Xenopus tropicalis: one gene and its partner. The main gene of each other region encodes a partner of the protein of the gene in region 2 in a complex. Links are inferred from orthologs where the notes say so. Each region holds a gene or a part of one and is shown on either strand. Other genes may lie near its edges.

Region 1 (16,917 bases), on a different chromosome or scaffold from region 2:
TGGGCCCTCTATAAACAGAAATCCTCATTCATTAGGTAAAAAACAAGCATCTTACATCTGACAGAAAAAATAGTGCAGTTTCTAAAAACTATCAGTATAAAGCAGACCCCAAGAAATAAAGATGGCAGTAAAAGTTATAGCATATCCTGTGCATTTTCTCTTCCCCAAGTGTTACCAGGACAAAAAGCAAAAAGTGGCTTAAGGGCGAAGACACATGGGGTGCTTAATTTTAAAAAGTTGCTGCGACTAAACGGGCCAGTGCAAACAGCACATGATTAGTTGTCACAACGCGCATGTTAACCTATGGCGGTAAAACTCCACGATTAGCCTCCGCGATCATGTTTTAAACAAGTCGCGCCAACTAATCGCTCTGTGTATCTTCGCCCTAACAGCCTCTGCATAATATATTTAAACCACAGGAAAGAACAGTATGTCATTCACACACATACGTTTGAAAGGTTGCTATACTTTCCATAGCAGTGTTGCTTCACCTAGATGATTGCAATGTGATATTGCCAAGTAGAAATTGCACTTTCTGCAATAAGTTCAATAACAATGGGATGAATGACATAGTGTAAGTAGGGACGATTCTAACTAAAGAATACCTTTGCCTCTGCATTTCAGGAATTCCTTCTTTGGAGAGCTAGGAACAGAATCAAGAGTCAGTTCTAAGGAAAGACCCCTTTAATAAACGGAGTATTTTACTTGTATCCACAGGAAATACATTTTTTAGCGACTCTACTTTTTGCCCTATAGCACTATGCTTCTCAGTAGGTGATCCCCCAACTCATTACTCTCATTACTAGTTTTAACTATAGCGGTTAAAAAAAAAGACTTTAATAAAAAATATGGCATGATATGCACTGATTTCTGTGTTGTTTCATGTGTCTACTCCATGTAAAACAAATAACTTAAAACACTGAATATTTAGAAACCACCAACTAATAAACAGAAGCCACCTAGACAGCTGACTATCTCTATACCCAGTGTCCTGAATGTGGTACTTTATAGAAACAAAGGTATATATGGTAAGAAAAGGTAGGTAGGTAAATACTGAAGCCACTTGATTAACTAGGATTTTGAAAAGGTGTTCAATTAAAAACAATAGATTACAATATATGTGTATTATGATACGTGTCCAAAACAATGGTACTATGGGTATTATTTTTCCAACTGATATTGCTGCTGCAGGAGTTTGCCCCTCTCTTACTTATACAAATCATTCTTTCATGGCTCTAAATGTGCATATCTAAATGTGAAAATTATTAGATGTGTATATTAAACACTTGCAATGTTATGCAGAAACACTGGCAAAATGTACCTTAGGACAGTAACCATTAGCAACTAATCATATATTTGCCTTCAATATTCTAGAAAAATAGAATCTGACTATTAATTGGTTGCTATGGGTTACAGAACAAGGCCAAGTTTGGCTGTGCTCCTGTATAACCCCTTCTATTTTACAATTACCCAAATGCATGAAGGGTAATGCCACACAGAATGTAATTCACATAAAAAGATAAGAAATATGGAAGACGTATCAAGCAGTTACAACCTGTATACCAATCTTTAAAATAAAATTGTTGCTGCTAGTCCCACTCCTACTAAAAACATAGAAAAGTAGAGGCTCATTAGGAATAAATAATTAGTTTGCATAATGGCTTTACAACTGGTGCATTAACGTATTGTGATCATTCTTCTGATCACTATTGTGTTTTCCATTCCATACATAGATGCAAACAGAAGTGACAACTTATTATTAAAAAGAAAAACCTCTATATTATCCAAAATCTTTTTAGTACATCGTAGCAGCATCTGATTTTTTAAACTTTCTGTAAAAATGTTATATTTTTTATCATCTATTCAGGCATGAAAATCATGGAATAAAACCCACAAAACTCAATACTCGTCCAATAACGCTTTAACTTTTTCTTATTTCTTGGTGCTGGAATCAGGAACCCAGGTTCAAAAATTCACAGAATGGGCATGCTTCTTGCACAGAAGTTTATCCTTCTTGGAGAAAAAGGTCTGCCCTTCCAGATTTTCACAGCATATCTGCAAAAAATAAATAAAATAATATATGCATCATTTAACTGAGGCATTTCCATATACAGGATTACAAAGCTATTTAAAAAAAAAAAAAGCCAACAACAACTCATTAACAAAGATCTATAACAAACAGGGTCGGATTTGGCCACCGGGACACCAGTAAAAACCCCTTGGGCCCCAGTGGGCCAGACCCGATCCTTTCGCCACTCCCCCAGCCGCTGGTGTCCCACCCCTGAAGCGTTGAAAGTAAGTTTTGCGCTCAGGGGAGGACGTCGGGCGGATAGCGGTGGCCCCTGTGGGAGGTGTGGGGCCCCCAGGGCAGTAGCCACGGTGGGACCTCCTGGTAACAAACCTAACAATCTGTCTAGTGGACCAACAATCTATTATATCAGTCAAGGTTATTTATAAACACTGGTAAAATTTGCACTTGGACAGTTACTCATGGCAACCAATCAGATTTTTGCTTTCATTGTTCTACTTGCAGCTGGTAAAGAATGCTAATCACCATAAATTATTATGAGTTACTGCCCAAGTGCAAATTTGCCCAGTGCTTTTAAATAAGCACAGCACGCCCTGGCATCCAGGTACTGTATGTGTCATTGTAAGCCCAAACCTTGTTTTTTTGGTGATTTTTTTGGTCTCCAGCTCTTTTCTTATTACTAAAAATCTAATTGAAATATTAAAATCTTAAAAAAACTAAATAACATAGGTGATCTGCACCACGTAAACTTCACACAAATGAACCAGCAATGTTAAATTGAGTGAATGACATTAAGGCTCAGTGCTAGGAAAGATGATACTATACGTTCAGTGTATTACCGTAGCTACTGCTTCAGACTGAATAATTCTATTATACTGACACTTTAATATAATATTTGCACTCATTTAGACTTCATTGCTGCAGAAACATGCACTGTTGCATTTTTTATTTACCCAGAAATATAATGTCACAATGTATATTATTTTTATAGCAGTATCCTGTAAGGATTTAGGGCTTTTATTTATCCAGGTGAATCACTTCATTAAATTCTCCCAAAACTAATCTTAAAACTTTGTTTAGCAGATACACAAATTTTATTGCAGACCTTTCCTTAAATAAATACTAACATTTATTTCATAACAATTATTTGAAATATCATATTACTTTATTTATTGCTGATAACTGCTGCAAATAAATCTTTTCCTATCTATGCTAACAAAACAAGCTGTAAATAATTTTAAGCATAGAAAGCAACATGATATCAATTAAATGTTATGCAATTGCCAAAAGTGCATCAGTGATGCAGGGTGATACAATTTAGATGACAGCTTAAGGCAGGTGTCTTTTTTTTAGCCCAAATGTAATATAATTACCATGCTGTGTATATTGTATTTGCAAGTAAATATATTTTCTTTTCTTTTCTGATTTGCTTTAAAGTCAATAATACCTACAAGTGGCACGTTTACTAAAAATGACTGACCTTGAGCTGCCCTCAAGTAACACTGTGGAACTTTCATTCACCTATCTACATTAATGTCAAATCACAGAGTTATACTGAAGTGATCAGTTTTCAATATCAGGCATAGTTGTACTCACTGTGCATACAAAACAGGTGTTATGCCAGGTGTGTCCAAGAGCTTCCAAGAACCTGTCTCCAGCTTCAATGGGGAATTCACATCCATGGCAAATCGTACCGAATAAGGAATAATAATCTAAACAATAAGGAGTCTAAACATTAGAATATATAGCAAACTCCAACACAGACGTATTCTCCAAAATGAGAGAAGCCAGATGGAACGGCAAAAGACAGGAGGCAAAGTGATTGCTGAAACATATGGGGAGAAGTTAGTGCCAGGTAGTCACTTAATGCTTAATCTCCTCTGCTTCAGCAAATATAGTTGCTTACTTCAACTTGGCTTTGACATAGATTTTAAATGATATGTATGAGATTAGTATCTAAAGTGCTCACAGACAACCATAATGTCATAGAGTTGTGTTTTGATTTGAGGTTGCATCTTCAGTCATATTTGCAAAGATGCCCATCCCATCTATGATTTAACAAATATACAGTATTATGTTGGGGTTGAGAAAACTGATCGTCAGTCGGATATTAAAGGTTGCATGTAACATTTTATATCCAGGGTCATATTGGCCTGCCAGAGTAAATAAGCTTCTAATAAAGAAGCAGGCCAAATAAAAGTAGGAGAAATACGTGCATTTATTTTGCTTTTAAATCTGACCAAATAAGGGGCAATCTATTGGCTTTTTTGGTTGTTTTTTCTGTCAGATATTTATATTGGCCTAACATTTTGATAAGGCCAGATCAGTGCCAATGGCATTGATCTGCGCCTCTGACCCATAAGCTATAACTTGCAGATACACCAATGTCCCCAACATGTTCTGGTGGTAGGCATCGGCATCAGCAGATAAGCAGATCAAATGGCCTATAGAAGCTGTTTCATGAAGTAAGATATATAGCAATGTCAATAGGTAAGGCTTGTGATCATCCAAATTACATGCCCATATTTCTGTGGGTATGACTACCGTCAGCATATATCAGGAATGAGTGCAGCCATAAAGGAACACTGATCATTTTGTGCATGCAGTCAGCTGCCATTTCTTCTATAAAATGTAATGATTGGTCAATCCAGTTACTGGATGAAACTAAGGATATCTTTTTTTTTACCAAATGTTATTGAAATTCTAAAACATTTAACTCAGATTGCTTTGTGATAAAACGAATTCAAACACCAATTTACTTCTGTTTTTAATCTACAATTTGAGGGCTACCATGACACAAGAGAGCTTCCCCATGGAAGAAAAATGCAAGAGACAAGGATATGGTAAATGCTAGTGCTTTAATTCTATGACGCTTACAGTATGTACAATACATCAGTAAGGGGATACGATAAGTTTAAAGCTGTGGCCCAAAGAAGAATAATATGTATAAAATACACACCTGTTTCGCAGTAGGGTTCCCCATCTTCTAAATGAAAGACACTATTCCGAATAGGAGTTTGACAGGCGACACACACAAAGCAGGAAACATGCCAAGTCTGTTTTAGGGCATTGATGACTTCCTGTCACAGAAAAAGACAGGAGAAGTTCTAATCAATAAGTGATTTAGATGTAACTGCTAGACAGAGTTATTATTTCTCACACTTGATATATTACAGAAAAAATGCTCAGTTTTCATTCTGTCTCAAGGCAATGTTATATGAGAACCTAATTAATAATTGAAACCACAATTTAACTGACTCACCATATTTGTAAAGTGTCTAATTGTGAAGAGTTATGTTGCAGAACCAATAAATACTGTAGCTGAACACTGGGTGAAATACATAGCTTTCAGCTAGAAATAAACCACCAAATTTTGGGTCCTTTTTTTTTTTTCAAAGGAATACTGGCGTGTCCCTATATTTGCTAGAAATATGTCAGTACTAATAGTAATATAGTAATAAGAGACTGTAACAAAGAACAGCAATTATCTTTTTTTTTTTTTTTTGCCCCAAACCCAGTGCTGAGGGGAAAGAGCTCGGCAGAGCAAAACGTCCATAAACTTCAGTAGAAATATCAACATTACTTGCACCAATAGTGGGATTTCACCTCCACCTGTCTAAAATGACTAATGTAACTGGCTTTGTGCACTCGGGTGACCGAGAGTCACTCAGGCGACTAAAGCCTGGGCACAGTGTTGCAAAGTGTAGGTAATACTGGGCAGGTATAATTAAAGGGGCAGTTTGGATTTTTTTTTTAAAACAAAAAAACCCACAAAAGAACATACTTTTTCTTTAATACTGACACATTCCTTTCTACAATAGGAACCTGGTAGTATCACTTTAAGTACATGGAGCACTTTACTTTATAATATATATATATGTCCCCCTAAAATAGAAATAATTGGCTATAATATTTTGCATGCAGAACAAACAGAATTTTAGTATATAATGTTTGCCATGCCTACTGTCACTTCTTGTTGCATTCCCCTGAATCTAAGTACTATGTTAGCCACTATCCCCCTGCTATATGTTATATGTATGTGTAGGTAATACATGATATGTATTTGGTATGCTGTATAAGAACTATTTATACAACAAAGATAATAACAGAGAAAGTATTTGTATGCAAATACAATCCATGAGTTTCATAGCTCTGTAACTGTAATCCAGTTAACAGTAACTAATAGCTACATCTACATTAGTTTTGGCTTAAAAATAGAGTTTAAAATCTCAAAAATGCAAAAAAAAAAAAAAAAAAAAAAAAAAAAAAGCAGGTACAATGTGAAGAATTGTTTATATAGTCATTGTCAAAAATACCTTTGCACTTTTTACAAATATATATCTATAATAAATTGATCTCACATTGATTTACAATTTTCTCATTTACTATTAAGGTAACGGAATTTCAGATCTGAACACAAAAATAAAATTGAAAATGTTATTGGCACCAAACGTATAACTGAACTCAAGTACTTCGTATAGACATGAAGGAGCTCTCTGCATCTCTGGACCATTCTTCTTCTGAAAACTACTTAGATTCTCCTGGATTTGAAGCATGCCTTCTCCCAACTGTTCTTTCTAGATCTCTCTGACAATAAACTTATAGTATTAAGATTTTCTGTCTCACCTACTCAACTTTTATTTATTTTCTTGTTCAGTGTGGTACACAACTAACATTCAAACTGACTGAACGGTTAAATCTTTATTTACAACATCTTCACCTAATTGCTGGGGCTGGTGCACCGGGACCACATTTTACTCTTGGTGAGTTACTTTTTTCAACTTTGCTTTTCTGTGTTGGACATATAAATATATTTTGGTTTCAGGCATTATGCCATAGCAATTAAGAGCACGCTTTTAAGTCTGGAAAGGATCATTGTTTGTAAGACTGAGGCAGACAAAATATTCCCAGTATATGCAGTGCATTTCTGATAATAAGTTTTTGCCCACTAAGTTGTAAAGCAGTTACATCTGCAAAGCCTAAAAATTAAATTTCAATATTGCAATCACAAATTACTCTTGGCTGCAGATAGCACTCCATAGATCATTCACAAGCTCCAATATGATGCAATGCTAACATTCTGAACTTTTGTCATCATAACATTAAATAAATTTAATGCAAACAAAAAAATAAAAACTACATGAAACATTCACATACCAACTTGCAGAAACTGAAGCATAGCAGCCTTGCCACTGGTTAGATTTACAAGGTGGCCTGGGTCAGGCACCTTAACCCAAACTGGAGGTAGTTCTACCAAATAAAATTGCCTCTGCACACACTACAGAAATCAACGACGATTTGTTTATTGCAGTCTCCTTGGAATTAACAAGCTATGCTGCTTTCCAAATTCAGGACATGGAATAAACCATTAAATTAGTGACCTGATTTTTGCTACAACAAATTATTCAGGTACATGCTTAGCAATAAACGTTACTGTAGGTGTGTTTATTGTTATTTTCATTTTACAATTGTTTTGACATATTTGTAAAATAATCTAGAATAAATTGGTTCACATGCCTCCACGACATGTATGCACTATAGATTTAAACTGTGCCAATAGCCTTTTATTGGGTGATGAGTCCCCTGGGGCTTTTAATTTTAATGTGATTTGTAAAATCAATCAATAAATAAAATACACAACTGTGATTGTGTTGGAATAGCTAATGAAAGACAACAGTGCCTGCACTTTCCTAAGCAAATTGCAAGTCTCCAGTGAAATCGAATGACAGGCCCACAATTTAAAGCCTTTAGCATGGAACATGAAAATATAAAATAGGAGTGTGTTGTTAATGTCTGCAGTGCTTTTACCAAAACTATGCTCCTGTATTTACTGCACCTTTAAGCCACATCTCATTGGCTTGCTGGTCAAATAGTTAGGAAATGTGTTGAGACTGGTAGAAAGAAAGATGAAGTGTTATAGGTTTCCTGCACTCGCAGAGATGATTATTCCAGCTGGGCTGAATATGCAGTTGAATAAACATTATTAGCAGACAGTCGATTAACGTCACATATAAAGCAGCCAAAGAGTTCACAGATTTCATCTGACCCATCTATAAAACACAATCAGTGTAACAGTGTCTTCCTACTTGTTGTATAATTTATGTTGTTTTTTTTTTTAATTTTTTCTAGAAGCTTTTCGCGCAGCACCAGAAACCATAAAAGTGGTTAGCAGATATCGGTTTCCAAAAACCACTTGTAATAGCTTTTTGTGTCTGGTAACACAAGCAGTGAAATGCCTTTTCAATCCCAGAAGCATCTACTAAATAAGTCAGATAATGAACATCTCTAAATAAACAAAACATTTCACTTACAGAAATAAAATGTAAGTTTTGAAAGTATAGTTTGCACAGAGAAGCTTTCCATGGTTTATTTGCATGGAATACGTGACTTCAACCATACTACTACCATTGGCTTAGGCACAGCACTGACTTCTATAGATAATGGGCAGTTTGGTGATATATAGAAGGAACTGGTTCTACTGGCATTAATAAAGAATACTTCATCTACGCCAAAAAATACACAACGTTCCCTTAACACATAAATAGAAATTTTCAGAGAATAATATTATGCATATACTATAAGCAACACTAACATTCGTAAGCATTTTATATGTAATGGAAATATATCAGTAATTATTTTTTTGTTTTTTTGCAGCAATCTCAACTAAATTGTATATTGTTTCATTCCTTATCCAATAATTTCCCTTGATAGTTTTAACCGTTAATAGTTTCTTAAAAGCAAAGTATTTTTGCTTTGATTTTCCCACAGATGTCATTTGAGAGTATATACAAGCCCACAATGACAAAAGGGAAGCAGGCAAACCTTTAAAGCTGATTATGCAGAAAGTGGGTCAATTAGGGCTTATCTGGTGGAAAAAAACAGGTAGAAAAAAAAAAGCATCCGATTGGCTGCTATGAGCAACATCACCAGTAGTTTTACTCCACTTTTTACACAGCATGATAAAGTTGACAGCCTATATCTGTATGGCAAGCTTAAGTTTGCTTACAACAAGTGCTCCCTCTACACTAAGGGCTCTGGCACACGGGGAGATTAGTCGCCCACGACAAATCTCCCTGTTCGCGGGCGACTAATCTCCCCGTGTGCCAGAGCCCTAAACATGGCTTTCAAAGCGTAGTCAGAACTGCTAAACTGCAGGCATAATGAGTGACCCAAGCCACATAGGACATGGCTTATTTATCTTGCACAAACCCAACTGTTCTTCAGCTGCAACTCTTGATGCAGGACTCAATGTCAGACCTATTAATACTACATGAGGCATACCCCTCCCCCAGTTTATTTTTTTTTTAATATACAAAGGTGTCCTACTGTTCTGCACAAGAATTCCTATGCACTGTAGAACAAATGACAATTGATTCTTTCCTGGCTTGAACATAAAGCTACATTTTAGTTGGAACTTAGTAGTACAAAATGACATTACTGGATGTATTGCACTTTGCTAAAATGTGTTACTTACACCAAGTATCTTCCTCTGACAGCGGGCACATTCAGGTGCAAATAACTTCTCATAACAAATCTCGCAGTACAGGCCACCCTTCTCTTCAACAAACCCCATCTCTGCCATGCTTGATTTGCAGTGGGCACAATTGAATTCTTCTGGGTGCCATGATTTCCCCAAAGCCAATAGGAAGGGCCCCCTGAAAACATAAGAGAGGTTTGAGTCCAGGTTTAAGAAGCCTCAATTTATTTTACTCAAATTTGAGGTATTTATTCTAACTATTACCTGTTTTCAGTTTTTAATGAATTGAATGAAGTGAGATCTAAAACTGATCCTAAGGCAGTGACTCTATGAGCAATTGTAACATTATTTCTAGTTTAGTCAATGGTCTCTATCTAAGATTATCAGGTTTGTCCAGGCTTGAAATTGAGAATTCAATCATTTAACATATATCTTAACGATAAATAATGTATGTTATACAATAGTGAAAGAAGCAGTCAGTTCCAAGTTACTGTAAACTAACTATATGCAGTAAAATTGACATGCTCTAACATTAATGAATCAATGCTAACACTGACCTAATTTGATATCCTCTGTTCTTTATACAAGCACCTTTACACACCAATGGCCTTTCAGTTCAGCATAGAACTAACAATAGGACTCCTTATGTACAACAAACTGCTCTCTTCTCTGAGTGTCAGCACAGGCTAATTTAACGGACTCATTAACAAAAGACTGACACTAAAGAAGACAAGGTCTTCCCGTTCCAGACAGGATTAGGTTTCCATCTGTATTAAAAAGATAGGCTTCAGTAGCTAAATGTTACAGAGGATGGAAACACAGTGGACAGAATGTTAGAGAAACCAAGGACAGAAAAGGAAAAGTTAGGGAACACAATCTTTGAACAATGATAGGTCTCTGTAGATTACAATGCTGACATTCTCTGGTCAGACCACCAAGTTCAAACCCAGGTGAACAAGGGATTATGAAGTAGAGCAAATAATCATGTGTCATGCTCTTCATATAATTTTTTAAGATGAAAACTGTACCTTAGGGATGACAAACTGGTGACCCCCAGGATGATAAGATCTATAACGCTATGCCCCAATGAAATAGTTAGCTATGCTAAGTGCTAATAGGGGTACACAACTGATACAATAATCCACACAAGCAAAAGTGACACAGTTATAGCCAATGTGAAATTTCCTTTGAATTATGTAAATGTGGAAGTGATGAAAGTGTGGTAGATTGTAAGCTCTTTTGGGCAGGGCCCTCTTCACCTCTTGTATCGGTTATTGATTGCTTTATATGTTACTCTGTATGTCCAATGTATGAAACCCACTTATTGTACAGCGCTGCGGAATATGTTAGCACTTTATAAATAAATGTTAATAATAATAATAATAATAATAATATTTTCTTACTTGTTTACAGATAAATTAACAAGTGGCTCAGTAACTCTGACTAAACCAGTGTTGAAACGGAGACTTAAATGTGGTCTAGTAAGTTGTATATAAAGTATCTAGTAGAATTAAGTCTATGACAACTGGACATTCTGAGTTAACTGTCACAGGACTAACTCAGAACGTCCAGTTGCTTCTGTTAGATACTGTATATAATGACCTGGATGAATGAGATTCTTTATAGACACATTGTATATAAAGTATTTTCCTCGGACTTCAGCTGGTGCCCCTGTTGTATAGCATAAAACAAATATTCATGGCCCAAAGTTGTTTGGATTTATTTTAGATTTAGTGTAACAAAATGTTTGGCTTTGAACATGTGTATGTCGCAGCTTCTGTCAAGCTCTAAAGGTCTAATTTGCATAGTGACTACAGAGTAACTACAGAGTAAGGCCTCCAAAAAGTTGAAAAGCAAAACATAGTTTTAACAACTATGTTAAAAGAAGGCAATTTGTTCCAAATCTAATTTAACAGTATTTACTCTAAACATTTCTGACCCCCTGGAGCTATGTTACAATTAATCGTCAGTCTTACTCAAAGTGTGCAGATTAGAAAACATTGCAATACAGTTAAAAACACCAGCACTGATCGTTTTGAGTGATAAATGCCTGTCACTTGACAGCACCAGGAAAAACATTCCTATAAACTGCTATAAAGAGGGCTGGAAAAACAACCCCATAAATCAGTAAAACCTCAAAAGAAAACTTACAAAACAGATCATATATACATAAACAATAAAAAAGTGTTTATTTGAGGTGCAGTTATAGAATACTTTGGGAAAGACTGACTAGCTTTTAACACTTTTAGTGACACAGATCAACAGTTTGTGGATAAAAGCACCATAAAAGTGCTACAGATATTAGATTCTACAATCCGATGCACTTCCGGGTCTGAATGCTCCGATTAAGCTTTTAAAGCAGGTTCAGTGTTTGTGATCTGTTTCCCTAGACAAGGAGGCGTTTCTGCCATTTCTGGTGTGGTACTTAGAACATTTCATAAAACTATACATATTTGCATTTTCTGTTGTATATTTGTGCACAAAAACATATTGTATATATATATAATATTTTATCTATTTATTTTGTGGGTTTATTTTTTGTCTTAAACAGTCTACCCTGTGGTTAGCAATTACTGGCTGGATGTTTGAAAGCACACATCTGATTGGTTGTTTTGGGTTACTAGATGTGAGCAAACCTTTTCAGTAAGACCCATTTTATCTTGCGAATGAAAAATGCATATTGCAGGATGGTCTGGGTTCCTATGTAATCTCCTATGTAATCTCATCATTGCTTTGTCAAAAATACTTTTTTTCCCATCAATTTAATTACAAATAGCAGCTCTTTTTTTGTAAGCCATACGCATTTAAACATGCAAAACTTTATCATTCTCAAATCAATAATTAAGACGGCGCTAATAAAAAAGTGATGCTATCTAAAGGATCACTTTGACTGTGTAATGCCAAGGCTTTGTGAGGCATGAAGTAAACCATCTATGTCTTGGATGTATCTTGGTTTTAAAACAGGTGTACCAGACTGCCATTTGATACAACAACCTGCTTTTCTTTGAGGTAATCCTGCCTTGGAGGGCATGAACTGTAATTCTATTAAGACAACCAGAGACAAAACAGCTGTGCCCATTGCTTCTCTACCAGAGGCTATGAAGAGTACTTTGTTATACACAAATTGATGAATTGTAACACACGGAAGAAAAAAATTACTAAATTGGAGTTCCCACAGACAAAAACCAGATATAAATACTGTATTATTCAATAAACGTCAAAGATGGAGATGTTCCTCTATAAAAAAAATAAGCCAACAGCAACAAATCAGACTGCAATTATTTATCTTTGTTTTCTAAAATATTCCTAAAAGTGTCATTTTAACTTGGCTCCCATCACTTAATAATACTGTGTTTCAATTGCTCTGTGTAATAGCCCAAATCTAACTGACCCCCCACTCCCCATCCTTTTTTTCAGATAGTACCACTATGCACTAGGCAGCAAAGGAGGCATACAGATAGGGTATAGGTGCGGTTAAGGGCCACATTCTGTGGCACATGGGGTTCTCTACCCTGGGAGAGAGAGAGAGACACATCATCATGCAAAAAAATTGGTGCCAACTGGCATGCTATATATTTTAGGTAATGGAAACATACATGTGTATATATATGTGTATTATATATATATTATATATATATATGTGTATTATATATATATGTGTATATGTATATACATATGTATACATATATACATACATACATACATACATACATACACACACATACTATGCAGGGAACTTCCCACTAAGGAAGTATAATCTCCATGTGAAAGTCGTCAGGGTGCAAAAAATAGGTGCCAATAGGTGCCTTTCCAAACTTGCCCTCTACCCTGTACTATATCTATTGCCTAAACCCCCCTTCCACCCCATAACGTGCAAGTCATTCAGATGCAAAAGTTAGGAAGCACCTTGTGGCTTAGGGAGCACCTTTTATTGGCCTTGTAGCTTGAAGTGCTGTCATAGGCTCAGTATATACTGTACACTGATTTTACTGACACCTCTAGACACATTTGATGGCTCATCTTAGATGTGTCTCAAAATAAGACTACACCACAGCACCTGACAGCCATAAATTATGGGCACTTATAATAAATACTTTATTGCAATGTTGTCATTAACATATCCCTTACCTTTAATGTTCCAAATAAATTGCTGTATTTTTGTTAGACACTAACAGGTCTCTTTTACTTACAAGTGTTTCCCTTTTTACAAAGAATGAGTAGCAGTCAAAGTCACTCGCACAACTAGCATGTCTAATTAGGGCTGGTTATCTTCTTTTTTTGTATTGGCTGATCATCAAATTGTAAAACAATATAAGGGGTTATATAATAGCCTTTACTTTCATAATTAAATAACTAAAGTCTCAGCAACTTGTAGATTTAGCAGTACTTTCTGAAAAATTCCTTCAAAAATGCTAGACAGCAATACCATACCAAACAGAATTAGTGCAGATATTATGCTTATTAAGTCTACAGCTCACTAGAGCTTTACACAGTACTGCAGTGGTGAAGGGTGTCACATCATAAATAAGGCCTAATGGCACTTGACATATTTATTCTTGCCTTGCATACATTAGTATGTGTTAACCACATTGCATCCAAGGCACCTCTTCATTTCTAGGAAGACCAATCAAACTCCATCAAGCTTTTCACTGCAGGTTAGGTCATCAGTTCCTTTAGTATTAGTTTAGGTGCTCTTCTCTGAGCTTTTTGCAATTATTCTATTTTTTTTTTTTTACCAATATAAAAAGTTCAAGATCCTGCTTAAACCTTCTAAACAGATTAAGACTTATGCAGGGAAGAAGCTTTTAATGATAAAATGCATCTTTCATTTTTCTTCATTTATGTGGAAAGCCTTGCTTTGTCACACTGAAACAACGTATTTATGAACATTTGAGGCTGCGTACCTTATAACTTTATTGCAGATGGCACACATTGGGGTACGGGTTCCTGCTGGTATATGCTCAGCTCTCTGTACCAGCGTGTCCTGGTCCTCTATCCAAGGTGGGGGGACGGACTTGTTATTGGCAACAGGTTTCACAGCATTTGATGCATTGTTGGTGACCTGTCCACTTGAAGGAACTGGAGGAGAAGTGGGTTAAATGATAAATTTCATACACAATAATACATATTTAACATGCTAATATTCTACATTTCTATAGCACAGGAAATGGGGAGGTTTCATATACATTTGGTTCTGAATGTATTGACCTTGTGTGCCCTAGTGTGTTTATCTGCAAACAGTGATCTTTATGTGAACGTGTAACCAATTGGGTGTGAGCATATAGGACTCCACTGAGCTATAAAATATGTTAGCAGAGAGTGAAGAAAACATATACCTTCTTTTCTGATGAGCTCATTCAGCTTGGCTTATACACAAAATGTACATAAGCATCAAAACCTCCATTAATAAATAAATGTATTTTTATACAGACATAACTGATTACACAAATTAAAAGGATGCAACAATAGGGGCATGTAACCCCTGCAGCACTAGGGACGTTTTAAAATATATTATGAGGTGTTGGAAGAGAGCATTTATTGAGCCAGCACAATCCAATTTAGATCATACACTGCTCACTAATCTGCCTGCTTGGTAAGGTTGCCAAATGGAGTTAATCATTGTATGATTTGGCCACCAGGGTCAATGACTGTATCACATGGGGGCCGTACAAACACATTAGGAGAGGACTGGATAACAGCTTGTTTCTCAATTTTACACAGCCCCGTTTTTTAGCAAACAAATGCCACAAACACAGTAACCAAACTGCATTCTGGAGTGCTCACAATTGTCTACCTGGAGGTATGCGTGCCACATCACTGCTATACAAATGAAGGTGCATACACCAGATGCAGAACACCAAAGAAACTGCATGGCCTCCTGTATGCTCAAAGACCCAACAAACTACTTTGTTCAAATTAAAAAACTTAAAGTTAAAAAATCCAGCTCTTCTATCACATAATTGTCTCACTACATACAAAATATTGCAACTTGCACATCCAGCTCATAAGCAGGTGCATCCATCTAATGCAGAAACTAAAGCTGGCCATACACGCACCGATCGATATTCGGTGCGTGTATGGCGAGTCGACCGGTATCGCAGGAGGACCGGTGTCGACTCGCCAATCGGGCCAGTTAAAAGATTTTGATCGGGCGCCATAGAAGGCACCTGACCAAAATCTGCCTTCAGTGCTGAATCGGCAGGAGGTGGTAGAAATCCTATTGTTTCTACCTCCTTATCTGCCGTTTCAGCCCTGAACGGTTTGTGGCTGATTGTACGATCTTTCGTACAAAGATCGCAAATCGCCACATGTGTGGCCACCTTAATACACAAGGTGCACACATTCTGGCACAATAAATATATTTTTTTCTAAGTATTTGCTTTTATGCAGCACTTGCTAAAACCTGCACACATCTTTTCAAAAATAAAATATTATGCCATGATGTGCAAAATACGAAGACATCTTTTAAAATGAACTAACTCTGAACACAGGTATAAATACCAGGCTTGCCCATCAAAGAGTCAATTAGAAAGTAATAAAGACACTATATGGAACAGCACAGAGGGAAAAGCTTTTGCGAGGTTTTCCACCTAATATTAATAGATTGCACGCACTAAAATACATAAACATGTGGAACAAATCATGACTGCTATAAACTGAAATTCAATCACATGGAAAATGACGCATGCAAGCACAACATGAGCTTATAATTCAAGTTGCACAGTAGTCTGAAAAAGTACAGTGGTGTGGTATTTAGACCTAATGATCTACCAAAGGGCCAGGCTTTCAAAAGCCCTGTAGCCGTTAGGCTGAAAATCATAGCACTTGGTTACTTGTAAAGGGAATGTTTACGCTGCAACAACTGCTCCTCCCTCCATCAATAAGGTATTTTCCTATGCTCTGGAATTTATTTGTGATCCCGTATAGTGCTTTTATGAATTTGGAATACCACTTAAGAATAACACAAATCTTTCTTAGATATCAGATGCCCTTCGATAAAAAAACTCTATAGAAGGAGCTCCCAGTGCCGGCAGCCATGGTGAGGAACATGCATGAGCCAATACTAATTATAATAAATATTTTTATTTTGTTTTTATTTTTTCATTATATTATTACAGGTATGGGATCCCTTATCCGGAAAACCATTATCCAGAAAGCTCCAAATTACGGAAAGCCTGTCTCCCATAGACAGTACCTTGTAATTGATCCCAACTAAGATACTTATTGGATGTGAAACAATCCTATTGGGTTTATTTAATGTTTTATTGATTTTTTTTGTAGACTTAAGGTATGGGGATCCAAATTACGGAAAGACCCCTTAACCGGAATACCCTTGGTCCCGAGCATTATACCTGTATTGTAAAAAACATATGGTTGCAACATTTTTAGAAGGTAAACAAATGGTTAATTA
Region 2 (16,917 bases):
TTTGGCTATGGTTCCAGGGCAGTATCTGCAAGGTGTTTGTTGTTTTCCCAGTGCTTCTGTGGGTTTCCTCCTAAACTCCAAAGCATATAGTCATGTTATTTGGTTCCTGATAAAACTGACCCTAGTGCACAAATGTAAGAGAAATTTAATTGTATCCTCCGCTGGGTTAGGGTTTAATTTGAATGATGTATAATACTTGTAAAGTACTGTTGAATGTGTTGCCACAAAACAAATAAAGAATAATAATGTTCTTTTAATATGGTTTATTAATACCGTTTGTTTTAGTTTAGATCTAAATTTTATCCAGCTCTAAAGGTAAATGTTTTTGTTACTTGTATTCTAGCCAAACATGCCCAGCCAGTACTGTGGATATCTGGCACAATGCCTATTGGGAAGATTTGAAAATTTAACTTGCAGGTGCACTATGTTTGCCAGTACACCGTGCATAGCAATGCATAGGCAGATGAAGAAGTGAAGAGCAGACAGTTCCTCCTCACATCTGCAGTTCTGATTGCTTGAGATGTTGGCCTGAATAATACAAAAGCAGACAGACCATGCCTGGCCACTTATATGGTTGAATACTATATGGGACTGGCCGGTGTATGTCTGCATTTAAAGGAACATTTCGGTGTAAAAATGAAACTGGGTAAATAGGCTGTGCAAAATAAAAAATATTTCTAATATAGTTAGTCAAAATCTACCAAGATCTATTAAAATCTATAAAGGCTAGAATGAACAGATGCCTAACATAATAGCCACAACACTACTTCCTCCTTTCAGCTCTCTAACCTCTTAGTCAGTGACTTAAGGGGGTGGCCACGTGGGACGTAACTGTTCAGTTAGTTTGCTTTTAATCCTAAGCAAACAGTTATGTCCCAAATGCCCCCCCTTCAAGGAGGAAGTAGTCTTGTAGCTATTACATCTGTTCACTCCAGCCTTTATAGATTACAATTTTGGAAGCATTGAATAAGGATTTCTTGGTATAAAGGAAGGTGTAAGTATGTGTGAGAAGCTATTAGTATTAATGGAACCCCTGTGACATGCTGGTTTTGGCAAGTCGGCAAACTGGCATTTATGGTCCGATGACCAATGTTTTCTATTAAAACTAATGACAGGCTCCACATCATTTAGGTGCCATGGGCCTGTTAACTCTGTATAAAGGAAAAAATGAATGCCCTTAAGTATAACTTGGTGTAAAGGAATGGGTAGATGAGGTTAAGGATAACTATGTATGGTGGAGAGAGTAGATGGGGATGGAGGAGAAGGAGGCAGCGATTGCTTATTAGGGTATCTTGGTATGAAGGCTGGTTTGAGTTCATGGCTGATGTAAAGATGCATGAGTATAAAGATGATTTTGTGTTAGCACTGAAATGGCTGAGAGCAGGTGTGAATAAATGCTAAGGCAGGACTTGCCCAGAAAAAAGGGTAACTTGCTGTAGAGGCAGGAGTAGGGGGGAACTATGGAACATTCACATGGCTGTAGTTGTTTGTTGCTGACTCTGAACTGTATTGTGATCAGTGAGATTTTTCTCAGTCTGCTTAAGGAGACCGCAGTTGTCTATAATTGTGCCTATGGCTGGGAGCATTTAACTTGAAATCTATTAAGTGACTCAGAAATTGTCGCAATAATTACCATAGGTGCACATCCCAGAAATAACCATTGCAACAATTGTGTTTCAAAAAATTGGATAAGATTGTAGTAGCAATTAGGAGCAATTTAGTTCTGTAAAGTGGAAGTATTTAGCTTTTTTGATGCAAAATACATTTTGTTCAGCTTCCATATGCCTTTGTGAGTCAGATTTCCATTCCATTATGTGACAAAAATTGGTTCTGGAACAAGTCAAAAAGAAACAAAGTAATTTTACATTGGATCATTACTGAATATGGCAAATATGCAACTCGTTTATGTTTTGCCAATTTTAATTTACTCTTTGTAAACATAATTACATATGCAGAAATGAATTAATATTGCAGTAGTTAAAGCCTCTGTACCTGGGCTATAAACCCTCTTGATGTCGGGCTCTTTTTGGCAATAGTTTATTTTCAATGTGCCTCATTTATAGATTATCTGAACTAGATGCTTTTCCGGGGGCTTACTTTCTTTTTGCATCTTTTTACGTCAGGCAACTACAAAGAAATAATAATCCAAAGTATTAAGTCCTGTTACACAGTAGAAAGCTGCTTGCCTAAACATTACATAAAGGTTGGGATAATTATGTCCCTTTAAACAGTCTGTTGTTTGTTAGCTGACGTTTGCCTAATTATCAATGTGCATAAGACATTGCCTAGCAGACATAAACACTGCAATAATTAATAGTGCCAGGGGAATATATGCAGGAGAAAGCTGTTTGGAAATGCAGCAGAATGAAGTGCCATTCACTGTTGTAATGTGTTGTGTGTGACCCATTTGAAAGTCTTTTCACATTTATGGATCTGTGATGCTCATTTTGTAGAAAAAAACAACTATATTATATATGATTTTTAACTTTTATGTACTCCTTCATGAAACTTTGTCAGCCTGTAGTTTTATCTAAATAATACATTTATATTATATTATTTATATTATTATATAGTATAGCTACACACACTAATATGGGCAGTACAGGCCAACATATCACATACAGTTGTTGTAATACTTGCAAAGATTTTACAAACATGACTATATGATCTCCAGCTAACCGGAGGTAGCAGTAAGTCTGAAAATCGGCTGATGCACTAAAATGCAATTTACCAATATTTCATTCTTACATTTTAAGCTAATTTGTTTATTGCTAATACTAATTTATAGAAAGTAAATAAAGATGTTAACTCAAAAGACTCAAAGTCCTTTATTCTTTTAGGGGCACAAACTTATGTGACTTATTCTAGATCCCAGCTCTGTCAGTTCAATTCTGACTGTGGACATTTTGTAGTCATGCATTTGTGTATTTTTAACATGTGACCAGCCTGCTGTCAGTCAATATCTCCTCCTTAAGCCATGTTTTGTTCTGATTGTCAGCATATGAACTGGCGGCCGTCAGTCGTAATCTACTTTGCTGTCTCATCTCCTTTGCACAGATTGTAAGCGAGCAGCTTGTTATCAGGCAAAAGCTACTTCCTAACCCCCTTTGTTTTCTTCTGACTGTCACTTTAGCATCCTACCATCAGTCAGAACCTTACTGCAGCCCCTTAGTTTTTCTGTTTGACAGTAATATGTGCTCCCTGCTGCCAATCTGCTTCTACTAAGTGCTTCATCAGGCTAGAGCTCACATGGCCAGCAAGCAAGGTGTCACTCAAACTCTCCCATATACAGTACCCCCATTTTAAATCCCCGCTGTGAGTCTGGCCCTATTCGATTTCTGTTAGTGTCATATCATCAACCTGCTCAGTTTAAAAAAACTCAATAGCTTTTTTCAGCATGTGGCACACCTACTCTCAAGCAGACCCAATCTAGATAGTCCACCTAGCTTTGTATTGTTAGTGTATGAACAGGCTGTTGTTCTGTTTCACACATACAGTCATACAGTCTTCCCTGTGAACTACAAGTCCCAGAATATCAGTGGCCGCTATTCAGAGGATCTGGAAGATCTGTGCTCTAGACCAAGACTATATACATTTGTAATAAAAACAAAAACAAAAAAAAAAATTTCATTTTGAAAATTGAGGATAGGATTGTTTGCTTGTGCTCCTGTTTTTCGCAGGCTCACTTTATGCTCTTTATGTGCACAGGTTGAGAATATTTTACTACATGACCGTGGTCACTATGTGCTGTGTGACTTTGGAAGTGCAACAAATAAATGCCAGAATCCACAGACAGAAGGCGTCACTGCAGTGGAAGATGAGATTAAAAAGTAAGTTTTTCAGCTGGAAAACTGACTAAAAAAAAAAACTAGAAAATGTATTGTAATTTTTCTGTGCTGTGCTGGGGACTTAGGTTTGATTCCAGTCAGTGCACTGTATACAGGAAGGTTCCTGATTTGGTTCCAGCCAGTGCACTGTATACAGGAAGGTTCCTGACTTGGTTCCAGCCAGTGCACTGTATACAGGAAGGTTCCTGATTTGGTTCCAGCCAGTGCACTGTATACAGGAAGGTTCCTGATTTGGTTCCAGCCAGTGCACTGTATACAGGAAGGTTTCTGATTTGGTTCCAGCCAGTGCACTATATACAGGAAGGTTCTTGATTTGGTTCCAGCCAATGCACTGCATACAGGAATCTGCCTGATTTCGTTCCAGCCAGTGCACTTCTTACAGGAAGCTGTCTGATTTCGTTCCAGTGAATAGGATCCAGTGCTAGGGTCATAGGTACAATTCCAGCCAGGACACCATTTGCAAAAAGATTTGTTTGTTCTCCCTGTGTCTACTTCCACACAAAGAATTCCAGTTGTACTATGTACAATATGCCAAAATAAAGTGGCATGGCTACAAATGGGCACGCCCGCTCTTATCATTTTGCAGACTTAAGGTAACCGACTGATTGTAAAAACTGCAAGGTATCTAAATGTAATCTAATTTGTATGACAACAAAGGTGCAGCTTGATAAACTTGAACTTGATACTCCCTCATAGGGAAGACTGTGAAAATGTTTTGGGCCCTTGTTTTAAATCCCAAAATCTTGTTTAAAGGAGAAGAAAAGTCATTTTGGCATTTTACTGCCAATAGATTCGCCACATTAGTGCCACCTAGAACGCTATATTTATTCTGCAGAAAGCTTTACTATACCTAAAGTAGAGGACTAATAGAGGACTCTGTGAGTGCTTATGGCTGTATTTACATAGACCTTTCTGATAAAGCTTACTTAGTTTTTTACCTTTCCTTCTCCTTTAATTAACATTGCACAAGGGGCAAGTGCACTCGTTAAATTACATTACTACTGTTTATAATTAAATATTTACTTTAATCTGTAACAGCCATGAAGAATGTCATTGAGTAGATTAGCATCACAATATATAGTTACACAAACTATAGCTATGGTAAAAATGCACTTAATGCAATTAAAAAAAATATGTATAATTTGTGTATAATTGAGCGAATTTATCATGCAGCTCTTGACAAACAAATGTTATAAAGTCATTATTTTGTTCTATCACCTCCTGCTTCATTTTTTTTTTAAAAGTCAGTAATGTAAAAACCGGTGCTAATTATTCACAAGCACCATATGGTATTTTGCAACTTCTGTTTTTTATGTTCGCACCACTTGCTGTAACGTTGAACTGAAGAAGAAAATGAATTGAAGAGAAAGGGTAAATAAAAAATGACTAATATATATACCAATTGCCTTCTCTGCATCAGGTACACAACCCTCTCATATCGGGCTCCTGAGATGGTGAATCTGTACAGTGGCAAAATGATCACCACCAAAGCGGACATCTGGGTATGTAAGATCTCCTTGCAGACATAATGAATGCCTAGCTGTGTGCCTTTTAGAGAGGGGCATTTTTATAATGTCCATTACAAAACTGCAAAACTAGAGATTTCCATTGCCTGAATAAGGTATAGAAACCATTGGCACTCTAGTTCAAGCTCCAATTTTGGCTTAGGTTTTGCTATCACATATTGCTCACGCAACAGATTCTGCTGTGTGAGGAATCTTTTAATCCTATATCTGTGAGCGTCATAATCTGCTCATTCATGTCAGAAGCTCTACAACAAAATTAAATCTCTCTGAGGAAGTGTCAGGAGTTCTTTATTTTTCCCAGCTTTGTCTGATCTGCCGCTGGCAGGAGCTTATATATGTGTGCCCGCCATTCTGTTCCATGGTAATGTTGCACCCTTCCTCTGAACATGGTTTTCAGTTGATTACCAATTACCTGAAACATAACTATTCTCATTTCCTGTTTGTCCTACATGGGAAGCCAAGAGTGCAGTGGCATCACCTTATAAACTCCCTTTTGGGTTAATGTTTCACAGAAAATTTGTGATGCTATAATGTAGACTTTCTGCTGAGGGTAAGGGCAGGGAAAAAGCATGGAGTCCTGTGCAGGTTCAGTTGGGCAGACCTAGACCTGCTACTTGATTCTACCCACAATGTTAACTTGCCTTGTGACCTGGGGACGTCATTGTGGACTGGAGTGTGGATCAGCTGGGTAATGTGAAAAAATAGTTGTATTGTCTAGGGTGGGTGGGAGGTATCGCAGCTGTGGACCTCCTGAAAGGTCAAGGAATTGGGGATTTTCTGCCCCAAACCCTACTGCTTTGTGGGTATTCTGACCCGATGCGGGTCTCTAACATTGATAATCAGTGGCTGACCTAGTGGGCTAACAGTTTTCTTATTCATGGGAGTTGCGACATGTGTTTTACCTATGGCCAAATCTTGCTATACTGGTTAGTTGCTATTTACATTCAAACAGTATGCCCCATGTATAATAAAAGGCTCTAAGTTTGCCCAGGAGCAATAATTAATAGCAACCAATAAGAAGTTAGCTTTTAAGGAGGTGACCAGTAAATGCTTCCTTCTGATAGGTTACTATAGGATACTGCTCCTGTGCAAACTTAGTGTGTTTTATTACATAAGCCATATGTTATTACATAGAGCCATTTTCTGTACTTCCAAGGAGAGGACACAGAACTGACTTCTCCTTCCATCCTCATTCTGAATCCCTTATAGCTCTGCTTAATATTCAGTTTCTATGGGCTTGGCCACTGGGAGTACTTAACTACTGTCAACTATCGTTGCTAACCTCTTTCTTCCTCTTTTGTGTATGTCTCTCATTTCAGGCCTTAGGCTGCTTGTTGTACAAGCTCTGCTTCTTCACACTTCCATTTGGAGAGAGTCAGGTGTCCATTTGTGATGGGAATTTCACTATCCCAGACAACTCTCGCTACTCCCAGGACATGCACTGCTTGATCCGTAGGTGTCTATTCCCTGTGTGTCTTATGCTATTTCTTTCATTTTTTGGATATAGAGCAAAATCCTGAAATGCCATTCTGTACTTACTGTGTGAATCCATAAACCCTGTTGCCGACCTTCTTTGCTTTTGCTATTGTTGCTTGCATGGATTTTTAAGACCTATACCATTCCAGTACCTCATGTTTTGACTAATAGCTGACTGTGAAATAAAGCAGTAGTAGAGAGAGAAAGCAATAATATGCAGTAATTGAAAATGAGTTTTGTACACTTAAAAAGCCTAAGGTATAAAACAGTATTGTAATTAGTTTCTTGTCTGTAGTTCAGCAGGCCCTATTGGCTTCAAGCAGTACTGTCATGCCTTTAAAAATCACTTTGAAACTGAGTCAGAGATTTGCATTCATAAACAGGATGTAAATGTAAATAATGTAAGTTATTCTGCATTTAAATGGAAATGAAAGGGATAAAAGATTATAAACCCTATAAGCTAGTGGCAACCCTAATGGATGTTTTTGATGTGTATTTATATTTATGCAACCAGTGTGGGGCTTTGGTCACAGTTTGTGCTCTCCGTGTTTTGAATTAACCTTGTGTGCCATAACTTAAAGGTAAATTGTTGGTCTGTTTAAATAAAAATAGTCATTGCAGGGAGTGCTTGTGCTGCTGCCCCTCAGAACTCCCAACAATCGGCACAGTGAGACCAAGGCTTGGAAATGACTACCTGAAATCTCTGGTGCTCTTCAAAGCCATTAATGCAAACCTCATTCACACTGAGACCTGCCTTGATAACAAATGGGGTGGGGGACACACTTGCAGTTTCCTCCTGTGACTCTCAATGCATCTGTTTGGAGCCATTGGATAGGGCAGCGCAGCCTGAACCAAGGCTTAACAATAGCTCTTTAATAAAGATTAAAGAGGAATTTGCTTAAGAGCCCCACACAACACAGAAACCCCTAATATACTTATCATTGTAATCTGTTCCTTCAAAAAGTATGTATGTATGTATGTATATCTTTATTTATAAAGCGCTACTTATGTACGGAGTGCTGTACAGTAGAATTCATTAATACAGACAGGGGGTTAAAGATAATGGATAAATACAAAGTACAACAATAAATACAAATAAATACAAGGTGTAGTTGCAATAAGAGTCAGAAACACAAGATGAAGGAGGTCCCTGCCCCGTAGAGCTTACAATCTATATAGGAGGGGTAACTAACAGACACAAATGGGCAATTTAAAGTATGGATACATACCATTTTTATATGCTGAAATCAAGCTGCAAAACAGTACTTTCTGCATCATTTGAAATCCTGACAGGGGAGGAGGGACTAAAACATTAATGTTACAAATTGTAACAACTTCTCCGCAGCTTTCATACTGCATGCAGGAACTACATAACCCACAATGCATTGCACTGTGATATTCATTTCCTTATTGACTTCATATGTGCAGGGAATTGTGGGATTTGGAGAATGCATCTTGAGGACAGTTGACTACTGTAATATTTTTGAGTCTTAATGCAGTCAGACAGATCAGCAGGAGAACAGGGAGCCAGGTTTAGGTAACTGTTCCTAACCATATACCTTACAAATCATAAAAAGACTGCATATTTTTAACTGATGTATATTGCATAGGTGCTTGAAAGTATGCTTTCTTTTCTAAAAGCTTCAGTTGTGCTTGGGTGGAGTTCCACTTTAACCAATGCCTCAGAAAGGGATATGAGCTTTACCCATAAGCCGTAGATAGCGGACCATAGATACAGAAGCTTTCATTGCAAGTGAAGATCCGAGTTTTTTTTTTTTTTTACTTGATGCTCCATCATGCTCAAGAAATACTTGGCATTCCATTCATTGATGTAATTACAATAAACCCAATGCATAAGGTACAGAATATAGTTTCTAGGCTTACTCGTCATGCTAATGTTGCCATGGTGTATTACAGCCTACTGCGTGGCTATGAATAAAAATACATTCCTGGAGTCATCTTAAAAAAAAATAAATAAAAGCACATATGCATATTTAAACTGACACTTTTCTAGATTCTAACCAATGGTGTGTTAACTGGGTTCATGCAAGAATTTGTTCGTGTTTTATATGCAAGAACATAATATAGACTTTTTCTGATGTTGTTGGTCTACCCCACAGGTTACATGCTTGAGCCAGACCCTGACAAGAGACCCGATATCTACCAAGTATCTTATTTCTCCTTCAAGCTGGCAAAAAGGGAGTGCCCTGTGCAGAATGTGCATGTAGGTACTCATGTCAGTCTACCAGCTGATATCCAGTATGTCTTCCACTTTTAGTCTCTGCACTAACATGTGCCCTTTTTCTGTTGCCTCCCTCTCCTCTACCTTCTGGCTGATTGGTGGAAGCTGGATTATAATTTGATCACTTTTTTCCCTGTTAGCACACACACACACACACACATAAGAGGGGAAAAAAACCCGCCATAACATTTCGGGGAAAAAAAGAGTATTGAGCTATATTTTGTATATTGGGTTACTGTTGGCTACAAAAGTAAGTCTTTTCAGTGACTACAAACTGGAAGGCAGCTAGGTTGAGGGAAGGTAGCAGAGCATTGGGGATCACAATATACATGTAACACCCTTTCTTGCTCTTATTCTCCAGGATGCTGTGATTCCTGTAAAGCTTCCAGAACCTATAAAAGCTGGGGAGGCTGCTGCTAAGAAAACCCAACCAAAGGCCAGGTATTATAAAAGCAAGCTTGTAGCTTTTGCAATTATCAGTTATGTCTCTGTACATTTCTTCTTGGGTTGTGTATACACCAGTGGTTTTAATGGTCTCCTTATACAAATGTTTTTTTTTTCTGTTTATTAAAGTATTGCAGGAAATATATAGAACACATTTGATTCAAGTTGGTGTTACAGCTTTTAGCATCAGGCTCTACCACTAGATGCTGCTTAAACCAATGATTCTAGTGGATTCTCTGTATTGCTGTGCTTTGTTGTGCAGGTTGACAGACCCTGTTCCAACAACAGAGACATCCATAGCGCCTCGCCAGAGGCCGAAACCTGGTCAGCCTCAGCCAAACCCTGGGATGCTTCCAATTCAGCCAGCTTTAACCCCACGCAAAAGAGCCATGGCTCAGCCAGCCAATCCCTCTCCAGGTATGTGTCTGTCTGTAAACAGCCAATGTCACTGTTGTTTAGCAGTATATGGTTCCATCCTCACTGTATAAATGGATATCAGGTAGCATGAGCCTTTTCACCTGATATAACTTAGTGACCATGAAACCACGCTATTGGGTTCCACTGAATGCAGTTGAAATATGCTACACTGGGGTCTCACTGCAGGGTGTGACAGTCTGGTTCTGTAGATCATGTGTGGGGTCAGACCAATACGCTGGATAAGATCACTATTTGCAACCATGTTGCAGGTATAAACTGAATTTTAAGAGATGCGGTTACAGATTTCCACTTAAGTGGGGTGAGTTCATTCTGATGTGTATACTCCAGTTTTTTTCATTTGATACATGATTAGTGCCTGTGCTGTCTTTCTAGTTGCACCAGTAAGTATCCAGTCCCCTAACCCTGCAGCTGTGGCACCAGCCGTGAGACCATCTGTACAAACTCAGCCAAAAGCAGCACAGCCAGCGGCACAGGTTCCCACACCTGTAACCACCACTCCACAGCCCGCTACTCCACAGGCTCCTCCAGCTGCTGTGCAATCTGCACTGACACAACAGCAACAGCAGCTGTACTTGAAACAGCAACTTATGCAACAACAACAGCAGCAGGCTGCGGCATATTATCAACAGCAGCAGCAGCAGCAGATGCTGCAGGCTCAACAGGTAAGGGTAAACTATTGGTGAAATTGTGTTGTGTTTTTTCATATTGGAGTGTGTATATATATTTTTTTTTGTGCCTGCATGTATATGCACTCTGCTGGTATTTCTGTCCTGCTTAACTGTAGATCCAGGCCATGCAACAGCAGCAGATGCTTCAGGCCTATTACATGCAGCAGCAACATCTATTGGCACAGCATGCCGCTATGCAACAGAAAGTGGCAACACCTAAACAGTCTTCTTTACCAAGTCAGCCACAAGCCATGCCAGCTGCTCTCCAGCCTCCTGCAGCTCAGGAACAGGGGGTAAGTGTTTTGATTAAACTTGTGTTGCATTAACATGTTAAGATATTAAGACACCAAGAAAATAAACACTGTTTAATTAAAGCATATTTAGATTAAATGGAAACTTTTTTTTTGTCTTGCTACCATCTGTCCGTGCCAGTGTAAAATGTCCCACAATATAGGTAATCAAAGTAGACGTCCAACTTGCCCTTGATTAACATTGCATAGGGCTGCTATATATGTGAAGCAATAGTCTTGTGCATGTTTGAAGGCTTAGTTGTATATGGGGCGTAAGTGATGGCAGATATTTGAACAACATTTAATATTCATTTTACAAAACTATTTCTTTTGAATATTTGACCTAGAAGTGAAGCATTTAAACCCTTTCTTATATTTTCAGAGATATTGCTTGTATTCCTGGTGGGTCATTTTTTACATTTGAACTTGGGTTGTGTTCTGGATGCAAGTGTTGGCAACTCATGATATGTGCTCCAAACCCATATACAGTGGAGGAAATAATTATTTGACCCCTCACTGATTTTGTAAGTTTGTCCAATGACAAAGAAATAAAGTCTCAGAACAGTATCATTTCAATGGTAGGTTTATTTTAACAGTGGCAGATAGCACATCAAAAGGAAAATCGAAAAAATAACTTTAAATAAAAGATAGCAACTGATTTGCATTTCATTGAGTGAAATAAGTTTTTGAACCCTCTAACAAAAAAAGACTTAATACTTAGTGGAAAAACCCTTGTTTGCAAGCACAGAGGTCAAACGTTTCTTGTAATTGATGACCAAGTTTGCGCACATTTTAGGAGGAATGTTGGTCCCACTCCTCTTTGCAGATCATCTCTAAATCCCTAAGGTTTCGAGGCTGTCTCTGTGCAACTCTGAGCTTGAACTCCCTCCATAGGTTTTCTATTGGATTAAGGTCCGGAGACTGACTAGGCCACTCCATGACCTTAATGTGCTTCTTCTTGAGCCACTCCTTTGTTGCCTTTGCTATATGTTTTTGGTCATTGTCGTGCTGGAACACCCATCCACGACCCATTTTCGGTTTCCTGGCAGAGGGAAGGAGGTTGTCGTTCAGGATTTCACGATACATGGCTCCGTCCATTTTCCCGTTAATGCGAATAAGTTGTCCTTTGCCCTTAGCAGAAAAACACCCCCAAAGCAAAATGTTTCCACCCCCATGCTTGACGGTGGGGACGGTGTTTTGGGGGTCATAGGCAGCATTTTTCTTCCTCCAAACACAGCGAGTTGAGTTAATGCCAAAGAGCTCTATTTTGGTCTCATCAGACCACAGCACCTTCTCCCAGTCACTCACAGAATCATTCAGGTGTTCATTGGCAAACTTCAGACGGGCCTGCACATGTGCCTTCTTGAGCAGGGGGACCTTGCGAGCCTTGCAGGATTTTAATCCATTGTGGTGTAATGTGTTTCCAATGGTTTTTTGGTGACACTGGTCCCTGCTAATTTGAGGTCATTAACTAACTCCTCCCGTGTAGTTCTAGGATGCTTTTTCACCTTTCTCAGAATCATTGACACCCCACGAGGTGAGATCTTGCGTGGAGCCCCAGAGCGAGGTCGATTGATGGTCATTTTGTGCTCCTTCCATTTTCGAACAATCGCACCAACAGTTGTCACCTTCTCTCCCAGCTTCTTGCTAAAGGTTTTGTAGCCCATTCCAGCCTTGTGCAGGTCTACAATTTTGTCTCTGACATCCTTGGACAGCTCTTTCCATGTTGGAGAGTTTGGAGTCTGCTTGATTGATTGATTCTGTGGACAGGTGTCTTTTATACAGGTGACTAGTTAAGACAGGTGTCCTTAATGAGGTTGACTAATTGAGTAGAAGTGTCTAACTACTCTGTGGGAGCCAGAACTCTTAATGGTTGGTAGGGGTTCAAAAACTTATTTCACTCAATGAAATGCAAATCAGTTGCTATCTTTTATTTAAAGTTATTTTTTCGATTTTCCTTTTGATGTGCTATCTGCCACTGTTAAAATAAACCTACCATTGAAATGATACTGTTCTGAGACTTCATTTCTTTGTCATTGGACAAACTTACAAAATCAGTGAGGGGTCAAATAATTATTTCCTCCACTGTAGATGTATAAATCTTTCTAAAAATATTTCTTTCTGGAGCAAACACAGAATTTTAGTGACCTTGCCTTTTAGCCACTTTATTACGATGATGCAACCATAGAACAGTTAATATAGTGTATTGTTATGCATCTTTTTGTCACATATAATTACAGCAGCCAGCTCCACTCAAGACCCCACAGAAGCCCCAGCCACCTACAGCACCTCCATCTTCTGCACCTCCCACAGCAGCAGGGCAGAAACTGGGATCCCTTACCCCTCCTTCATCCCCCAAGACCCAAAGAGGCGGCCACAGAAGGATACTTAGTGATGTTACGCATAGTGCAGTTTTCGGTGTCCCAGCCAGTAAATCTACTCAGCTTCTACAGGCTGCTGCGGCTGAAGCAAACCTCAACAAATCAAAGTAAGTATTTTGAAACAAAATGCTTATGTGCTTCTTTGCACAGAAAAGATGACAATATTCCCAGAGGTGATTATTTGCATATACACTTTGCACAGTGATTGAACAAGCCCCGTAGGGGTGCCTTATAATCATTCCCTATCATTGTGGTTGCTAGATATTTTCAGTTCAAGCCTCCTTGGAGTTCCAGCCATTTTACAGGTTCTGGATATAAGAAAAGGTTGGTGTGTAAGCCATTCAGCCATAGTTCCACGAATATAGAAGACAACAAATAAGTTTTCACAAAAATATTGCACCACCCCCCCCTTCCCTTTGTTACCAAGTAGCATCACTGGGAATTATTTTTTAGAAAACAAGCACCCAATTACATTTGTAAAAAATCTGCTTGCTTGAAATTACTTTGCGTTTTTTTTTATAAATCTGCTGCTTTTGACTGCAAGTTTTTAAACATATGTCCATATGTCATTTTTTGTGGTTTTTGAATTATTTAGCTGTTTTATTTAGCAACTCTCTAGTTAGAAATTGTTGTTAAATGGTTGCTAGGGTCCAAATTACCCTAGCAGCCAGGCAGTGGTTTGAATGAGAAACTGGAATAGGAAAAGTAGTGGGTCTGAATAAAAAGTTAAGTAATTAAAAGTAACCGTGAAATTGTAGTCTCAAATAGCTACGGTTTTTGGCTTCTGGGGTCAGTGAACCCCATTTGAAAGCTGGAAAGAGTCATAAGAGGAAAGCAAATAATTCAAAAACCAAAAAAATGAAGACTAATTGAAAAGTTACCAAGAACCATCCATTCTATAATATATTAAATTGTATTTTTTCTGCCCAACCTAAATTCTGCCTAATTTCCCGCTTTTGCCAGGTCAGCTACAACCACCCCTTCTGGCTCACCTCGGACCTCCCAGCAGAATGTTCACAATCCGCCAGAACCTTCTGGCTGGAATCCTTTCGACGATGACAACTTTTCCAAACTCACAGCTGAGGAACTTCTAAATAAGGATTTTGCCAAGCTTGGAGAAAGTAAGATATCCTTAATTTTAGCTGTTAAAATATATGATGATACAGTGTGAGTTGTACATAAATCTGTTTGCAACCCCAATTAACACAAAAACCATCCAGACTATAAGGATGCATAACACTGGCTAAATCTGGCTATTTCTGATATTGTCACAGTTTCTGTGGCCTAGTAAAGCTTGATACTCACTGGTAGATGAAGGTGGCCAGTTTGGCTATCTGCCTAGTCCTAACTAGTGCGTTTTTAATCATAATATGCTCAGATTGGAATATGTTGATAATTGCATTTGAGCAAGTAACACGGGCGCTTGAGCTGCCTATTAATCCTTTTTTAATAGACCTAGTGAGCTAAATTGGTCTTTAAATACTTCATCTGTTGGGGACCTAGAACATAAGATGATAATGGCATGTGTTTGGCCTGTGGAGTCACCAAATCCATCCTTTAAAAGTAAAAATTTAATATTTTAGCTACTACCTTCCTGTAATCTATTATTAGTGTCCAAACCTAAACTTTTACAAGGCATTTTATTGTTTTAACAAATAATATGATACTTCTTACCATCTTTTCTTTCAGGTAAGCCATCGGAGCAGCTGAGCCGCTCAGCAGAAGATCTCCTATCTGGGTTTCCAGCTCCACCTGCTGTATCTCAGGCTGATTCATTTGGAACTGCACTCTTTGCCAGTGGTTCAGGTAATTGTCTTTTCTTTCCCTTGAAACCTTATTACAGATGTAGCAAACATTTGGCTTTTCCTCTTTAATAAATTTAAACAAATTGCACAGATTTTGAAAAAGTGAGCAATAAACATCCTGCAGTAATTAAACTATTTTCTGAGAATAAGGAATATTTTCTCCTCCTTCCAGTACTTTGTTCCCCTGTACAACCAAGCCCTACTTTAACAGTGCCTTGTGACTATTGGGATGGTGTTGGTTTAAATGTTCATGCTCCACTTAAGCTTCTTAATTAAAAACCCTTACAGTCAAAGCACTCAGGTCTATGTGGCTAACCCCTGTTACTTGCATGTGTGTTTGGCAATTAACCCTTTCACTGGTGGAAAGAGTCACAGGCATCATTAATGGTCCAGTGGTGGAGACAAGGATTTGACATTCTTCAGGTGAAACTTCCCTTTCTGTCTTTTATTCTTACTTGTCAATTTTCTCTTCTTGTTTTTCTCTCTCTCCTTTGGTGTGATTCCTTAGCTGCAGATAAACCTGTAGATTCACAGGGGCCCAGTCCTGGCTCTCAGCTGCAAAAAACTTCTGATTCTTTCTTGCCTCTCCCTCTGTCTGACACCCCAGGTAATAAAAAAAAAAAAAAATAACCCATCAATAAAAGAGTGGAAGCATGCCCTTGTTTTATTGTAAATGCAATAAAACATATTTATATTTGTGAGATATGGCACAGACAGCATTTTGAATCAGCAATCAGAGCACATTCACCTGTAACAGATCATTTTCCCAAATAGGAAAAGCTATGTGTGTTATTATTATTAGGGTAATTATTACTGCTTGTGATTTCACGTGCTTTTAACCTATAAAGCTCACAGAAACAATCTATGTTGCACATTCGACTTTCTGTGGTGGGCTTTGCAATCACCTTTCCTGATAGGATAAGAAATGCACATGAAGATATGATGTGAATAGAGCTACACACACTGAATATTGTAGTATGGTACATGGGCATGACTACCTTTGCCAGACTCGCATGTATCAGATATAGGTTTGTGATGTGATCTTGGGCATTTGTACAAGCACTGGCTCTTCACTAGAAATAGCTTTGTACTCAGAATGCCTTGATCTTGTTTAAAAATAAAGAAACTATTGAATGCATATTAAATTATTGATCCAGCGCACGTGTGTGTATGTATGTGTATAATTCTCTAGTCATAGATCTCAAGTGTATCAATATATCTATCCACTATCTACTAAATAGGCAAAGAATTGGGAGCAGCATGGCATTTTATAGACAAAATAGGATGTAAAACATTTTTTTTAATAACTTGTTCTTCTAGCCAAATAGGACTGCTGTGTTTATCAGTGGGACAGAAGATGATAGTATTAAGCTGATAGAATCAAAACTGGTAAAAAGAGTCATAGCACCAGTAATGGTAGTTAACCTGTGGTTGGGATAAGGATTTGAGATGCTGCAGGAGCACACTAGAGATTGGGCATTTCTATATTTGAATTGTGATGTCACTGCCTCCAGATACTACAGGGGGCACAAAATGTGCTATACAAGCTATTATGCAACACCTGCTTAAGGTCTGGCACTTAAGGGAAAAGTTAGCTTCTGATCAAGGTTATTTTCCCTGAATTAAACTGAATAAAACCCATGTGTTACATTACTAAGCACACAGTCCAGGCATAATTTCTTCCTATAGTAGTTATTACATGAGCTTGTGTATTTCTCACACAATAGCTTGGGGGACACAGGGACAGTGGGTATAGCTCCACCTGCAGGAGGCAGGACACTAGGTAGGAATTATTAAAA

What was found.
Region 1: the proteins of aak1 (region 2) and pdlim5 are in contact, whole or in part, in a crystal structure (PDB 9F6S), measured with the Homo sapiens proteins. The link is inferred for Xenopus tropicalis from reciprocal best matches to the Homo sapiens genes AAK1 and PDLIM5. Residues at the interface, in NP_055726.4 of Homo sapiens: Asp956, Leu958, Ile959, Asp960, Leu961; in NP_006448.5 of Homo sapiens: Ala12, Pro13, Trp14, Gly15, Phe16, Arg17, Leu18, Phe24, Gln67, Ile70, Lys71.

What each region holds. Positions count from the first base shown.
Region 1 is NC_030677.2:76,398,093-76,415,009, forward strand, and holds the end of pdlim5 (PDZ and LIM domain protein 5), read right to left. Parts: intron 14,586-16,917; coding exon 14,411-14,585; intron 9,685-14,410; coding exon 9,504-9,684; intron 5,110-9,503; coding exon 4,989-5,109; intron 3,742-4,988; coding exon 3,626-3,741; intron 2,056-3,625; coding exon 1,966-2,055; 3' UTR 1,925-1,965; downstream 1-1,924. UniProt on the Homo sapiens protein: May play an important role in the heart development by scaffolding PKC to the Z-disk region. May play a role in the regulation of cardiomyocyte expansion. Isoforms lacking the LIM domains may negatively modulate the scaffolding activity of isoform 1.
Region 2 is NC_030679.2:122,506,489-122,523,405, forward strand, and holds part of aak1 (AP2-associated protein kinase 1), read left to right. Parts: intron 1-3,708; coding exon 3,709-3,830; intron 3,831-5,268; coding exon 5,269-5,350; intron 5,351-6,693; coding exon 6,694-6,826; intron 6,827-8,970; coding exon 8,971-9,074; intron 9,075-9,453; coding exon 9,454-9,533; intron 9,534-9,798; coding exon 9,799-9,953; intron 9,954-10,346; coding exon 10,347-10,636; intron 10,637-10,758; coding exon 10,759-10,935; intron 10,936-13,172; coding exon 13,173-13,420; intron 13,421-14,276; coding exon 14,277-14,434; intron 14,435-15,002; coding exon 15,003-15,119; intron 15,120-15,626; coding exon of another isoform or gene 15,627-15,725; intron 15,726-16,917.